Linked DNA regions of Callithrix jacchus. The protein of the gene in region 2 purifies or fractionates together with the protein of the main gene of each other region. This does not show direct contact. Links are inferred from orthologs where the notes say so. Each region holds a gene or a part of one and is shown on either strand. Other genes may lie near its edges.

Evidence for each region.
Region 1: the proteins of POMK (region 2) and CANX purify together in Homo sapiens (affinity purification with mass spectrometry; 3 studies listed by BioGRID and IntAct, counting the BioPlex papers as one, with this or other methods). This does not show direct contact. The link is inferred for Callithrix jacchus from reciprocal best matches to the Homo sapiens genes POMK and CANX.
Region 3: the proteins of POMK (region 2) and LRP6 purify together in Homo sapiens (affinity purification with mass spectrometry; 3 studies listed by BioGRID and IntAct, counting the BioPlex papers as one, with this or other methods). This does not show direct contact. The link is inferred for Callithrix jacchus from reciprocal best matches to the Homo sapiens genes POMK and LRP6.

What each region holds. Positions count from the first base shown.
Region 1 is NC_133503.1:71,973,254-71,977,302, reverse strand, and holds the start of CANX (calnexin), read left to right. Parts: upstream 1-1,466; intron 1,467-1,521; coding exon of another isoform or gene 1,522-1,539; intron 1,540-2,447; 5' UTR 2,448-2,568; intron 2,569-4,049. Other genes in the region: CBY3 (sperm annulus positionning complex subunit Chibby3), read right to left, coding at 810-1,466, 1,522-1,539. UniProt on the Homo sapiens protein: Calcium-binding protein that interacts with newly synthesized monoglucosylated glycoproteins in the endoplasmic reticulum. It may act in assisting protein assembly and/or in the retention within the ER of unassembled protein subunits.
Region 2 is NC_133514.1:44,881,369-44,885,679, reverse strand, and holds the start of POMK (protein O-mannose kinase), read right to left. Parts: upstream 2,908-4,311; 5' UTR 2,567-2,907; intron 2,448-2,566; exon of another isoform or gene 2,389-2,447; intron 1-2,388. UniProt on the Homo sapiens protein: Protein O-mannose kinase that specifically mediates phosphorylation at the 6-position of an O-mannose of the trisaccharide (N-acetylgalactosamine (GalNAc)-beta-1,3-N-acetylglucosamine (GlcNAc)-beta-1,4-mannose) to generate phosphorylated O-mannosyl trisaccharide (N-acetylgalactosamine-beta-1,3-N-acetylglucosamine-beta-1,4-(phosphate-6-)mannose).
Region 3 is NC_133510.1:11,023,295-11,027,774, forward strand, and holds the start of LRP6 (low-density lipoprotein receptor-related protein 6), read left to right. Parts: upstream 1-1,495; 5' UTR 1,496-1,808; coding exon 1,809-1,863; intron 1,864-4,480. UniProt on the Homo sapiens protein: Component of the Wnt-Fzd-LRP5-LRP6 complex that triggers beta-catenin signaling through inducing aggregation of receptor-ligand complexes into ribosome-sized signalosomes.

The DNA of each region.
Region 1 (4,049 bases), on a different chromosome or scaffold from region 2:
AGACCGCATTCTATGGAAGCATAAAAGGAGGCCTGTGCTGGGCGCGGTGGTTTACGCCTGTAATCCCACCAGTATGGGAGGCTGAGGTGGGAGGACTGCTTGAGCCCGGAAGGTCTAGGTTGCAGTGAGCCATGATCGCGCCACTGCACTCCAGCCTGGGTGACAGAGCCAGACCCAGTGTTTAGGGAAAAAAAAAAAAAAAAAAAAGGAGGCCTGTAACAGAGACGCAACTCTCCAAAATGCCACACCGGCAAGTGGGGACCGCACAACCCAAGGTTTCGAGAAAGCTTCTCTTGGGAATGTAAAATACACTTACCCTAGGACTCCTAGTTTCTAAACCTCCTGATCCTAGAGGCCCAGAGGACCGACCAAGTGCAAAGCCCCCCCACACTGTTCTCAGCTCCTGCCGCACCGCACCCTCTATTCCCTGAGCGCCACGGTTCCTCCGCCTGCGGGACTTCGCCCTCGGTTACTTGTATGGCTTGCAAGGCCATTACCTGCCACTCCACCCTGTCTGGGCCCTGCCCGAGGCAAGCCTGGCTTCCAGCCCGCGCTCCCGAAGTCACGCGCAGACCCTCCTCCACGGCCCCATCGCACCCTCCCGAGATGCGTTGCTTAGGGTTGCGTCCCCCGCCGACACCCAGCACCGAGGGGCAGTCCCCGAGGCCACGCAGACCGCCCCCGCCCGCACGCAAAACCTCGCCCAGGGAACAGAAACCGCCACAGTCCCTGGCGGGTCAGGGTTAGTCACAAGGAACGAGGCGCGCATGCGCAGCGCGGGCTTTATTACGTCACTGCGAGTCCAGAACTCAAGGCTGGATCCTGAGCACGTCCCCGCTGGCGCCTGCGCGCTTGCGCATCTTCCTCTGTCGGGCGTGCGCTGCAGCAGCCGGAGTCACCTCGAGGTTGAGCTGCTTTTCCAGCAGGTGCATGCGCGCCGTGGTCTCAGTCAGCATATTCATGAGCACTTCCTGCTGCAGCTTCAGGTAGTTGCTCTCCTTCAGCAACACCTGGATCGTGGTCCACTGCTCCTGCGCCTTCCAGCCCGAGACGGTCGGCGCCAAGTGACCCTCCGTTGTCCACCGGCCGCCGCGGAACTCGAAGGCCTGGTTTTCGAGGCGTATGCGCGGCGCGCCGTAGCAGAGGCCCAGCTCGGCCTGGCGCTTGCTGTAATCCAGCAGGTAGGAGGTGGACAGGGAGGAGATGCGGCGCGCTGGCGGCCGCCGTGGCGAGAAGCGCCGCGAGATGTGATCGGCCCAAAACTGCCGCAGCTGCTCCCACACGTGGCTGGCATGGCTCGTAGTCAGGCACTCGAAGGTTGCCATGGCGAGTGCTGGGTGGACCTTGTAGGGCACGCAGGTGCTAGGAGGGGAGCCTCGGGAGTGCTGGCGACTCCCCAGCACTGGCTGCGCTCTTGCCTCGGGAACCTGGATGTCCAGAATGATGAAGGCGAGCCAGAGGGGCTGCTGGGAGGCAAGAGTATGAGTGAGCAGCTTGCTCAATACAGGCTGCCTATCAAACCTCGAGGCCGGTGGACATGGCTTAGCCCTGCAGCTAGGGTTGCGGCTGTGGCTAACCAGGTGCTGGCCACCGAGGAGCCCGTCCCTCCACGCTGCACAGGCAGCCGTCTCACCTAAATCACCTTACCCAAAGACCACTGAGTATCAGGCGCTGGGATAAATATGCAGATGAAGGACGCTAGGAGCGCCCTGTTCTCTTAGTTTCAGCTGGAAGGGTGAGGGGTAGGGAATGGTAGCAGAGACAAGTAGGTATTGAAAGGAGTAGGACTTTGCCAGGTGAGCTGAGGATGGAAAATGGAGAGCAGAAAGGCAGAGGGAAGAGCCAAGCAGGGTTGTTTGTTTATTTGTTTGTTTTTGTTTTTATAGACGTAGTTTCGCTCTTGTTGTCCTGGCTGGAGTGCAATGGCACGGTCTCTGCTCACTGCAACCTCTGCCTCCCAGGTTCAAACAATTCTCCTGCCCCAGCCTCCAGAGTAGCTGGGATTACAGGCACCCGCCACCATGCCTGGCTAATTTTTTTGGTATTTTTAGTAGAGATGGGGTTTCACCATGTTTGCCAGGCTGGTCTCGAACTCCTGACCTCAGGTGATCCGCCCACCTCTCCCTCCCAAAGTGCTGGGATTACAGGTGTGAGCCACCGCACCCGACAGGACTTTCATGTTTCAGATGTGAACACGAGCTTGGATAGGATTGGTGCTGAGAAGAGCAGAAGAGGAAGCTGGGAAGGTGGACCGGGGCACTATGTGAGGGTGCTGCACAGGCAGGCTCAGAAGCTTATACTTCTTTTTGTGTGTAAGAGGGAACTGCTGAAGGCTTACAAAGCTAGGGTTAGATCTGGATTCTGGAAACAATCTGGGAGGGTGTCTAGCATAGCCAACAGCATGATTGCCCTCATCATTCAGTCAACTAGCATATTCTCTGTGCCAGGTCCTGGTCTTGGAAGGAGGACCTGAAACAGCCTCTGCCTGCCCTCAAGATGCTCCTGATCCAGCTTGGAAGACAGATGCCTGTGTAGACCACGGTCCAGTGTGTTCACTGACATCCTAGGGTGTGTGCCATGGGCTAGAGCTATGCATAGGGCTCAAAGTAACAGACATGACAGATTGTGCACACTAGACATGACTTTTGTTCCAAACATATTATGTCCTAAGGGAATCCAAAGTCCAGATAACAGACAAGTCCCATTTTGCTCACTTCTCCCTGTACTCCCCTGCCCAGTAAGTGCTGATTCTATTATGTGAAAAAGGGAGCTATGTGTTTTTGTTTGTTTGTTTTTGTGATGGAGTCTCGCTCTGTAGCCCAGGTTGGAGTGCAGTGGCATGATCTCAGCTCACTGCCACCTCTACCTCCCGGGTTCAAGCAATTCTCCTACTTCAGCCTCCCTAGTAGCTGGGACTACCTGCACATGCCACCACGCCTGGCTAATTTTTTGTATTTTTAGTAGAGATGAGGTTTCACAGTGTTAGCCAGGATGGTCTCAATCTAACTTTGTGATCTGCCCGCCTTGGTCTCTCAAAGTGCTAGGATTACAGGCATGAGCCAACACACCTGGCCAAGGAGTTATATGTTGTTTTTAATTTCTCTTCTGCCCATGGACAGTGAGAAGAAAAAGAATTTGAGCAGGCTTCCCTCTTATACCTTCGTTAATTCATAACACACTTATCCCTCACGTATAGCTGGGCAGAGGCTGGATGGTACATGCCATCCCCAAGATGTGGTTTAGGGAGATGGTCTCTGGAAGTCCACATCTAGGCCCACCCTTGAGATTGCATCTTGTCAGAGGACCCTTCCCCATTAGTTCTCACTGTATGTTGTGCCTCACCTGGAAGATGTGGTGGAGTTGCTGAGCTCCTGTCCCAGGCCTGGCTCCGTCTCTGACCCACTCAGCTAGTGTCTACCTGCTATGACTCACAATGCCTCCAGGCCAGGCTATCCCAGGTCAGAAGGGTTGCTGAATGCTGAGCTGTCAGACAGACCCAGGGCTCTCTGCTGCATGCATTCAGTGCATCATTCATCACGTACTGTTTTCTAGGAACAATTCTAGGGAAGTGAAGAAGATATTGCCCTCATTAAGCTGTCATCCTTGGCAGGGGAATGAAGGGGGTGGTCATAAGCAGAGTCCAAGACAGGAATTTGTTCTAGAGGAACCAATAAGATAGTTTCTGAGGAAGCTAACAGAGGGTGTCATGGGTCAGGTTCCCTAGAAGCAGAGCCTAAGATGATCATTCTTGCTCGAGTGAATTATTGGGGAAGTGCTCTCAGGAGAAGAGGGTGAGGGAAGCAAGACAGGGCAGGGAAAAAGGCTAAGGCTGAGGCAGAGTGTGGTCTCACATAGAGACTAGCTTCCGCTTGCTGTCATGGAGAACTGTGAGCACAAATGGCATCACACTTAGGCCTCCTTAAGGCAAGGGAGCCAGTCTTTTGTATCCTTCTACATGTTAGTTATGGCAGGGGCAGCTAAGAGTTACCAGGCAGCACCTAGAGCACCTATGGGATGAGTGCACCACCAGTGATAGGAATTTTGGTGGA
Region 2 (4,311 bases):
TGTATTCGCTTCAGCGAATCTGCTCTTCCTCTCCTCAAGGTTCCTATCCTATGAGGCCCCTTATCTGCCACCTCCTTCTCCAATCCGAGTTCCCCAGCTCAAACCCCATGGTGAATCCCTTCAACTCTCCAACCCTCCTTATGCCTAACCTCCCACCAATCCTTCCTTGCCACTAGGGGTGATGTCAGGTCTTATGGGGCCTGAAGCTTACACAACTGGGGGCAAGGGACGGTAATTCTTTAAGGGAAAAATACGCAATTATGAATGTAAAACTGCTGAGCCCCTTGCCAGGGTTTTGGAAGGTATTTGTGCAAGTAAAGCGTCTAGAGGCTTTATCATAAACCCAGATCTGCCTGTCACTCACCAGCCCCGTGTAACTTGCCCTGTCCACTTCTTCATTTCCACTCAAAGGCTGCCAAAATCAGATACAAAACTCTGTAGGACTCTGGAAATGCATATTTTCTAATCTGCGTTGGACCCTCATCATTACTCAGAAAACCTTTAATGCATTTCTTGCTGAATCCAAATTTTATATTCCCCAGTAACCTTTTCTATTAACCCTAAGTTCTCACATTCACTTCTGAATCCTCTCAGCAAAAAGAAACCAAACCAAAATGAAATAAATTTAAAAATACCCAAAAATTCATCTGAATATCAACTTCACACCAGTTCTGTGAGGTGAATATAATTATTGTTATTCCCATTTCACAGATAAGACAACTGAGTCAGAGATGAAGTAATATATCCAAGGTCACTAAATTATACACAGAAGAGCCAAGTTTTCTGGCCTCAAGCCCATTCTTCCTCTGCAATGCTTAGGAGCTGAACTAAATCAAACACACTGTGGTCACCTGGGGGCTGCCTGGGGGACCCTGGGACTGCTGATTTCTTAAAGAAGACTTTAGGCCACCTCAACCCCTGATTTGCTTTTTGTTTCAGAGGCATATTCTGGAGTAGGCCGCCCAGAGCATAGAATGAGGCTGTGTGGCTGAAGGAAGTTTCCCGTCCAGAAACAAGCAAAAATCACCGAAATTTACTGGTCCTGAAAAACAGCCTGCACGTTAAGGAATAAAGAAGGTGGGCAGATAGGGCAGGAGAAATTCAGGCACGACATATAGGAAGACTTACTGATAGAGAAAAACTTGGGATCCACTGCTCTACATTTACAGCTTAAAGAAAAAAGAAAAGCACAGGAACAAAACTAGTTTTTACCGACTTACAAGGTATGTTCTACAACTAGAGAAGACAGAGTAGTGTCATTCAATACAATTTAGAGTAGAATTCCATCTTGCCAATAAAGCACAAGGTACATTAAGAGGATTATTTTAAACATTCTGGATGTTTATTCAGCTTTAGGGTTCTGTAGTAAAGGTGAAGGGTGGTAAAGACAAGATTATGCAATAAAACAGCGAAATTCTGCTTTCTAAAAAAGAGAATATGATTACACAACACACCTGGGCAACAATGATCTCGTGTAAAATAAACACACAAAGGCAAAGAGCTGAGGTGGAGTCCTTTCCGGTTTTTTCGTTTTGTTTTGTTTTGTTTGTTTTTAAATAGAGACAGCCTCCACCAGGCTCTTGCCTGTAATTCCAGCACTATGGGAGGCCGAGGCAGGTGGATCACCTGAAGCCAGAAGTTCGAGAACAGCCTGGTCAGCATGGCGAAACCCCATCTCTACCAAAAATACAAAACTAAGCCGGGCATGGTGATGGGTGCCCATAACCCCAGCTACTCGGGAGACTGAGACAGGAGAATGGATTGAACCTGGAAGCCAAGATCGAGCCAATGCACTCCAGCCTGGGCGACAGAGCGAGACTCCGTCTCAAATAATAACAAAATAATAGAAACAGCCTCACACTCTGTCCCCCAGGCTGGAGTGCAACGGCGTGATCTCCGCTCACTGAAACCTTCTGCCCCTGGGTTCAAGCGATTCTCCCACCTCTGGGATAACAGGCGGGCCACAGCAGCCAGCCAAGTTTTTTAATAGAGACAGGGGTTCCGCCATGTTGCCCAGGCTGCTCTCCCCTGAGCTCAAGCGATCCTCCTGCCTCGGCCTCCAAAACCGCTGTGATTACCGGCGGAAGCCATCGCGACCGGCCCTTGTCGGGTCCTTTAATGTCCAGCTCTAGCGCAGGGCGGGGCGCGGAGGAGGGGGCCGGGCGCGGTGGACGAGGCTGCCCTGACCCCGCGCAGCCTCCTTGGGAGCCTCCGGACCGCTCGCGTGGAGGCGGCCGGTGCTGTGGGGGATACAGGCCGCGTCACGTATAGGCCCCGCGGGAAACCCAGCTGCAAGCCCCTCGCCCCTCGCTCCTCGCCGTTGAGCCCTGCCGCCCCTCTAAGCCCTTGCCCCTTGGCCCTCTCGCCCCTCCTCGCCCCAGCACCTACCTGCAACCCAAGTCTCTGCGGCCCTGCCACCCCAGGCCAGCACGCGCTGGTCCTACTGCGCTTGCGCGGGCGGAAGCACGGCCTAGGGGCGAGCGCAACGCTGCTGCCCCCTAGCGTCCACCTCCGACCGTGCACTGAAGCCGGAGCAAGCGCAGCGACGGTGCCAGCGCGCACCTACCCAGTCTCCCGCTCTGGTTTCTGCTTCCTGAACTTGCGAAGACGATTTTGCGTTGATCGACTATTGGTGCTAGGCCCGTGCAGAGAAGCTGTCAGATCTCGACGCACTGCGAGGCCTTGGGTTCCAAAGCGTAGTCCTCAGACCCGCGGCATCAGCAGGGGTCTTGCTGGGAAGGCGGATTCCCCACTCCGAGCCAGACCCGCTGTGCGGGGACCCAGACGCCTGAAGTTGGAGACTCGCTCTGTAAAGGAAACTGTGGGCTTAGCCCAGACGCTGTAAAGCTGAGCTACATCAAGCGCAGCAGACAAGACCTAGGCAAGCCTCCGCAGAGAAATAGGACTGGGCAAGGGCAGGGAATACAGCCAGCAGTGGCCGACCGGGAGCACCACACGCACTCGGGCGCTTGCTCCAGGGAACAGAGAGGGAGGCTTGCAGCGTCGAAGTAAGCCTGGGGTCATGGAATGTCTGGGTTGTGTAGATCGGAACTGTTAGCTGTTTCTACACTGACACACTGCGAAAGTTCAGAATCAAGACACTAACACTATGTAGGATAAAAGACGGAACCTGTACTAGCAACCCAAACAGTATTAAAGTACGAGCAACTTTTGCCTGTCACATGGACAAAGAGCAAAAGAAGAATGGTAACACCTCCTGTCATTAGAGTCTGAAAGTGTCCTTGCACTCATACAAGTGAGTGTAAATTGGAATTCCTCCTGCGGGCCCTAGCAAATCCCAGTTCTAGGAATTTATCCTTCAGAAATAATATGTCTGCAAGATGTATGAACAAGAGATGTTGCTGAAGCATTGTTGATAAGGGATATTTATACTAGAGAAAAAAAGAAACCTAAATATATAACAATAGGGGTGGGGCCGGGCGCGGTGGCTCAAGCCTGTAATCCCAGCAATTTGGGAGACCGAGGCGGGTGGATCAGGAGGTCAAGAGATCGAGATCATCCTGGTCAACGAGGTGAAACCCCGTCTCTACTAAAAATACAAAAATTAGCTGGGCATGGTGGTGCGCACCTGTAGTCCCAGCTACTCGGGAGGCTGAGGCAGGAGAATTGCTTGAACCCAGAAGGCGGAGGTTGCGGTGAGCCAAGATCGTGCCATTGCACTCCAGTCTGGGTAACAAACAGCAAAACTCCATCTCAAAAAAAAAATGCTGCTGTCTAACGGGTGCACAATTTAGTTTGAGAAGATGGTAAAGTCCTGGAGATGGATGGGGGTGATGGTTGCACAACAATGTGAATATACCTAATTCCACTGAACTGTACACTTCCAAATTGTTACGATGGTAAATTTTGTTATGTATCTTTTACTACAATGTTTACTACAATGTTTTTAAAGTTATGCTATATATATATATATATATATATATATATATATATATATATCCTGGAGAGGATATCCATAATATATGGCCAAGAGAGGAAGCAATCTTTTTTTTTAAATATGTATTTATAATCATATATATACACATATATATTCCAATGGTTACCTCCAATAAGTAGAATTTGGGGCAATTTAAATTCTCCGTTCTTGCTTATATGTATTTTTTAATGTTTAGGTAATAAATAGGTATTTCTCCATACATGTGTATATATGTGTGCGTGTAAATGAACCATGAACCTGCTAGCAGTATTAGACATGTATGATGACATATCTTAGAATGAAGGCATTTAGAAAGATCATCAAACAAATCTATTAAATTAATAAAAACTTTTTAAAATAAAGTAGGCCAGGCA
Region 3 (4,480 bases), on a different chromosome or scaffold from region 2:
GTTTAGTACTCCCCTCCCTGTGTCCATGTGTTCTCATTTTTCATCACCCACCTATGAGTGAGAATATGCGGTGTTTCATTTTCTGTTCTTGTGTCAGTTTGCTGAGGATGATGTTCTCCAGATTCATCCATGTCCCTACAAACGACACGAACTCATCATTTCTGATTGCTGCATAATATTCCATGGTTAAAGTTGTTTTTTACTCAGGATATGGGGTAGCAGTTGCACCGTTGTATAGGCCAGTGGGCCCTGTTTCTCAGAAAATTGGTTACAAAGATGCCAGGCGTTTCAAACCACAAGCTTTCAGAACAGAATGCCTTACATAGCTCAGGGTGGGCAAGATAGCTCAGGGTGGGCAAAATGGAGTTAGCAGGATTGTTTAAAATGTATTCATTACAGCCAAGCTAGGGTATTTCAGTAACACTGTGGTAGCAGCTTCACTTTCTTGCCCATCTGCCTCCAGGTAAGGGCGTGTGTCAGCTGGGCAGGATGCATCTGATGGCTTCATTAGGGTTAATTCTTGGAGCGCCTCTGCCCAGACTGACGCCTGGCAGGTGATTTCAGGAGGCGTCTGGGCCATTATTCCTGAATGCCCAGTGCATTGGGAGCGGCAGAGGCTGTGTACAGTCTTGAGATTGGTGAATCCTTTCCTTCTCAAGCTGATAATTGATCATCAAAGCATGCCAAACATTCGTTATTATATGCAACTTATGAAATCTTAAATAGTTTTGTCCAATTGTCCCTTTTTTCTGTCTTAGGTTTTGACGCATATATCTTGAAATTTTATTTGTCAGTTTAGAAATCTTTAGTGTTGGGCGGGCTTAATTCTGAAATTTTATTTGTCAGTTTAGAAATCTTTAGTGTTGGTCGGGCTTAATCCAGTTTGTACTTCTGGGAAGGCAGGAGAGAAATAACAATCTCAGTTTTGAATTGGCGTTTTAACATCCTTCACCAGATCCACGTTGAAAGCCAGTGTAACCAGCGTTCAAGAACTCCAGCCCCAAAAAAGAGGATGCTGAAACCCGTTTCCAACCCCGAAGACGGAGCTGATCTCGCCGCAACGGGATCCGCCGTGGCTCCCCTCGCGTGCACCGCGGCTGGGCCGTCCCAGGTGGCTGGGGGCGCGGGCCCGGAGCCCAACCTGGCGCTGCCGACGGCGGCCGCACAAAGACCGGAGCAGACGGCTGCCTGGCAGAGCCGCAGAAAGTAGTCCCGACCACGCCGGCTCCAATGTTGTTCGGTCCCGCCTCACGCCCTCCGCGGGGAGGGCCGAAGCGGCCGGTCCGGGAAAGAATCCCGCTGGAATGCGCCGCCGGCCGGAGGCCTTCCCTCGCCAGCTCGCCTCTGCTACCCCAGCACCTCTGCAGGAATCTTACGCCGAGGCCGTGCGTGCGGTTGCCGACTCCTTTCCCCAGCCGTGCAGGAGGCAGCGCCGGGGGAGGGGGCTCGCCGTGCGCAGGGACACGTCTTCGTTCCGAACCTTGGAGGCGGCGCCGGCCGTATCCCTGCGCCGCTGCGCGAGGCAGAGGCTGAATGAGGAGCTGCGCGGGGGAAGCGGGGCGCCGGGGGAGGAGGCGGCGGGATGGAAGCAGACGCTGGCGTCGCGCGAGCCTGGGGCCGAGCGACGCGGTAGAGAGGGCGGCGGCGGCGCGCGCGGAGCCTTGACGTGCCCCTTTCTTTCTTCTCTCGGTGGGAAGCTGGGAAGCATGAGCGTGCAGTCCTGCCGCTGCGGCGGCCGCCCCGGCTCCTCGCCTCCCCGTCTTCTTGCCGCCCCTCGCCGGTGAGAGAAGAGAACGCGAGAAGGGAAGATGGGGGCCGTCCTGAGGAGCCTCCTGGCCTGCAGCTTCTGTGTGCTCCTGAGAGGTGGGAAGAGTGGGGGCACTGGAAAGTTGGTGGGGTTCGGGGGGAGGTGGCCTGGTTTTGTGTGTCGGGGGGGGGAGGGGAGGGACAGAGGGAGTGAGAAGGGGAGAGGAGCCGGGAGAGGCCTGGTCGTGGGGATGGGGAGAGAGAAAGGGGCCCGGGAGCAGGGGCTGCGCGCACCGCCCGGCCACAATGCGGACCTGGCCTGGCTTCCCAGACCTTCCCGGGACACATCGGAGCCTCGATCCCGACGGCTGGTCTTACGGAACCCCTGGCACCCCATTCTGTCGGGATGACTGAGTGTCTGTGTGCCTCTCTCTGCCTGGGGTCTTTGTACGTATTTTGGCTTTTAAAATGTTTGAGCCCGAGATGCTTTAAGGTTGACCCTCTCCCTCGAAGTCCTCCCCACATCCACCACCCCCCACCCCGTTTCGGTGTTTCTTAGGTGAACTTTTAAAGTCCTCTGTTTTTTCCAGGCCTTGTTACAGGTAATAATTGGCTTCCGTTTGGGATATAATGATCCTGGGTGAGAGCGCAGTTGGAAAGTGACTTTTGGGTTATAGGTCGAGCGTTTCAGCATTGGGAACCTTCTGAGCTTCAGCCCGTAATAAAATAGAAACACTGCCCTTGTAACCTCTGGTATACACGGCTTGCCCCTATTTTCGGAGTATACAAGTGTCCAGTTGGCACTAAGTAGGAAATTCATCCTCTTGTGAAGAGGAGCCGGTCCTGGGACCAAAATGATCATTTTCTCTACACTCCTGGGGACTGCTTGGCATTTTGGTAAATTGCATAGGCTATTCTAGATAATTTGCTCTGGGAATCGCCTGAGTTCGATGGTACTAGGATGTTTTGAATTGGCTGCAAAGCTGGCACATGCTCTGTGACTTCTGTTTTGTGACAGTTCGCAAAGATTTTTGACTGGCCCGTAGGCAGCTCTCCTCTAACTACTTAGTGTTGAACTTGAGATGGCTGTGATGCTGTGGAGCATTTACCAGCAGAGGAATTTAAGTACTGCTTCATGCAGTGGCTTGTAGTTTTGGTTTGTTAAAATTCTCACTGGTGTTGATGATAAGTTCTTTTCAGGCGTGGGACCGCTGGTCTGGAGATTTTTAGGTATTAACAAGCTAAACTTTTGTTAAGTCCTCCAAAACAGACTAAGTTTACAGAACGCGATAGTAACTAATAATGTATGACAGGTGTATATTTTTGGGTGTACCGTGTACATGTATTTTGGATGAGAATGATTGACTTTTTTTTGAGAAGTATGTTCTTCAGTTACTCTGTAGTAGTGCAGCATTGTGTTTGCATATTGTATTATACTTGATACTCTAAGCATATTACAAACTTTCCCCACATGTAAACCCCAGAAAAGGGAGTGCTCATTAGATTTTTGTGGCAGAAAATTCAATGGAGTGTTATGTACTGGAGAGGTTTAATAAGTATATACTTATTTTATTATGTTATACTCTCAGTTGAAAGGGGTTTTGCTATAGCTGTTAGAAACAACTATATTTGACATAAGAATATGTGTATATTTTAAGACACAAGGTTAATAGGGTTGACATATGAGAACCAGCTGATTAGTTAGAGTCATGGGGAAACCTGTAACTTGGGATATTTCTGGTTGCCTGGTTATATTTCTTGGAGAAGAAGTGTGTGATGTAAATGCTGTTTGTTTGTTTTAACACCAGCTTTGAGACCAGAGCTGGGTTTGTTCATTATTGGAATTTAGATAGGTTGCACTTTTAGTGATATGTTTTGAAATATAACATTATGTAACAAGAACTGGAAGAGGTAATAGTTGAAATTGTCTTATTTCCTTTAGCAGAGTTTTCAGAAGTGGAGCTCCTGTTTTAAATGTGGCAAAATAATGGTGTAAGGTGGTCTATTAATATGTAACAGTACTGTACTTAGTGCGACTACATATAATTTGAAGTAAAACTATCTTTTGATGTAGAAGATTTTTGTTCATAACTTAGAATTCATTCTTTGAGAATGTCATCCTCTGTTATAGTAATGATGTTTAGTCAACCTTGGGCTCTAAAGAGAAAAATCTGATTGATTTGTTGCATTTAGATCATTTTTTTCCCACAAATAATTGGATCTTTAACATTGGGTTAGTGTGATGTGGGGTATCTGAGAGTTTGGGGGAGACCGTCTGTCCCGTAGCCCTGCTGAATCAATAGCTGAAAGCCAGGGAATACTGTTAGTGCTTCCTCCTTATCTCTGTTAATCACGTGACAAGATATAAAGGAAAGATTGGGGAATTTCAACACTAAAATCTTGGATTTAAAGCTCGAGCGTCACTACTTCATAACTTTGTGGTTCTGGTCTAGTCCACTTCTCTAGGTCTCAATTTCTTTACTGGTAAAATGTTGATAATGATACTTGACTATTTTACAGGGTTACTGGGTATTTTAAATGAAATAATATAAAGTACCTTGTAATGTTACTTTTGTTATAATTTTTGCTTGTTCAGGGACATATATTCAAATGCTTTCAGGATTTGAGATTTAATTTGTTTAACATTCACACTTTTTTTTTAAAGAGACAAGGTTTTGCTTCACTCAGGATGGGGTGCAGTGGCGTAATCACAGCTCATTGCAGTCTCAAAAGT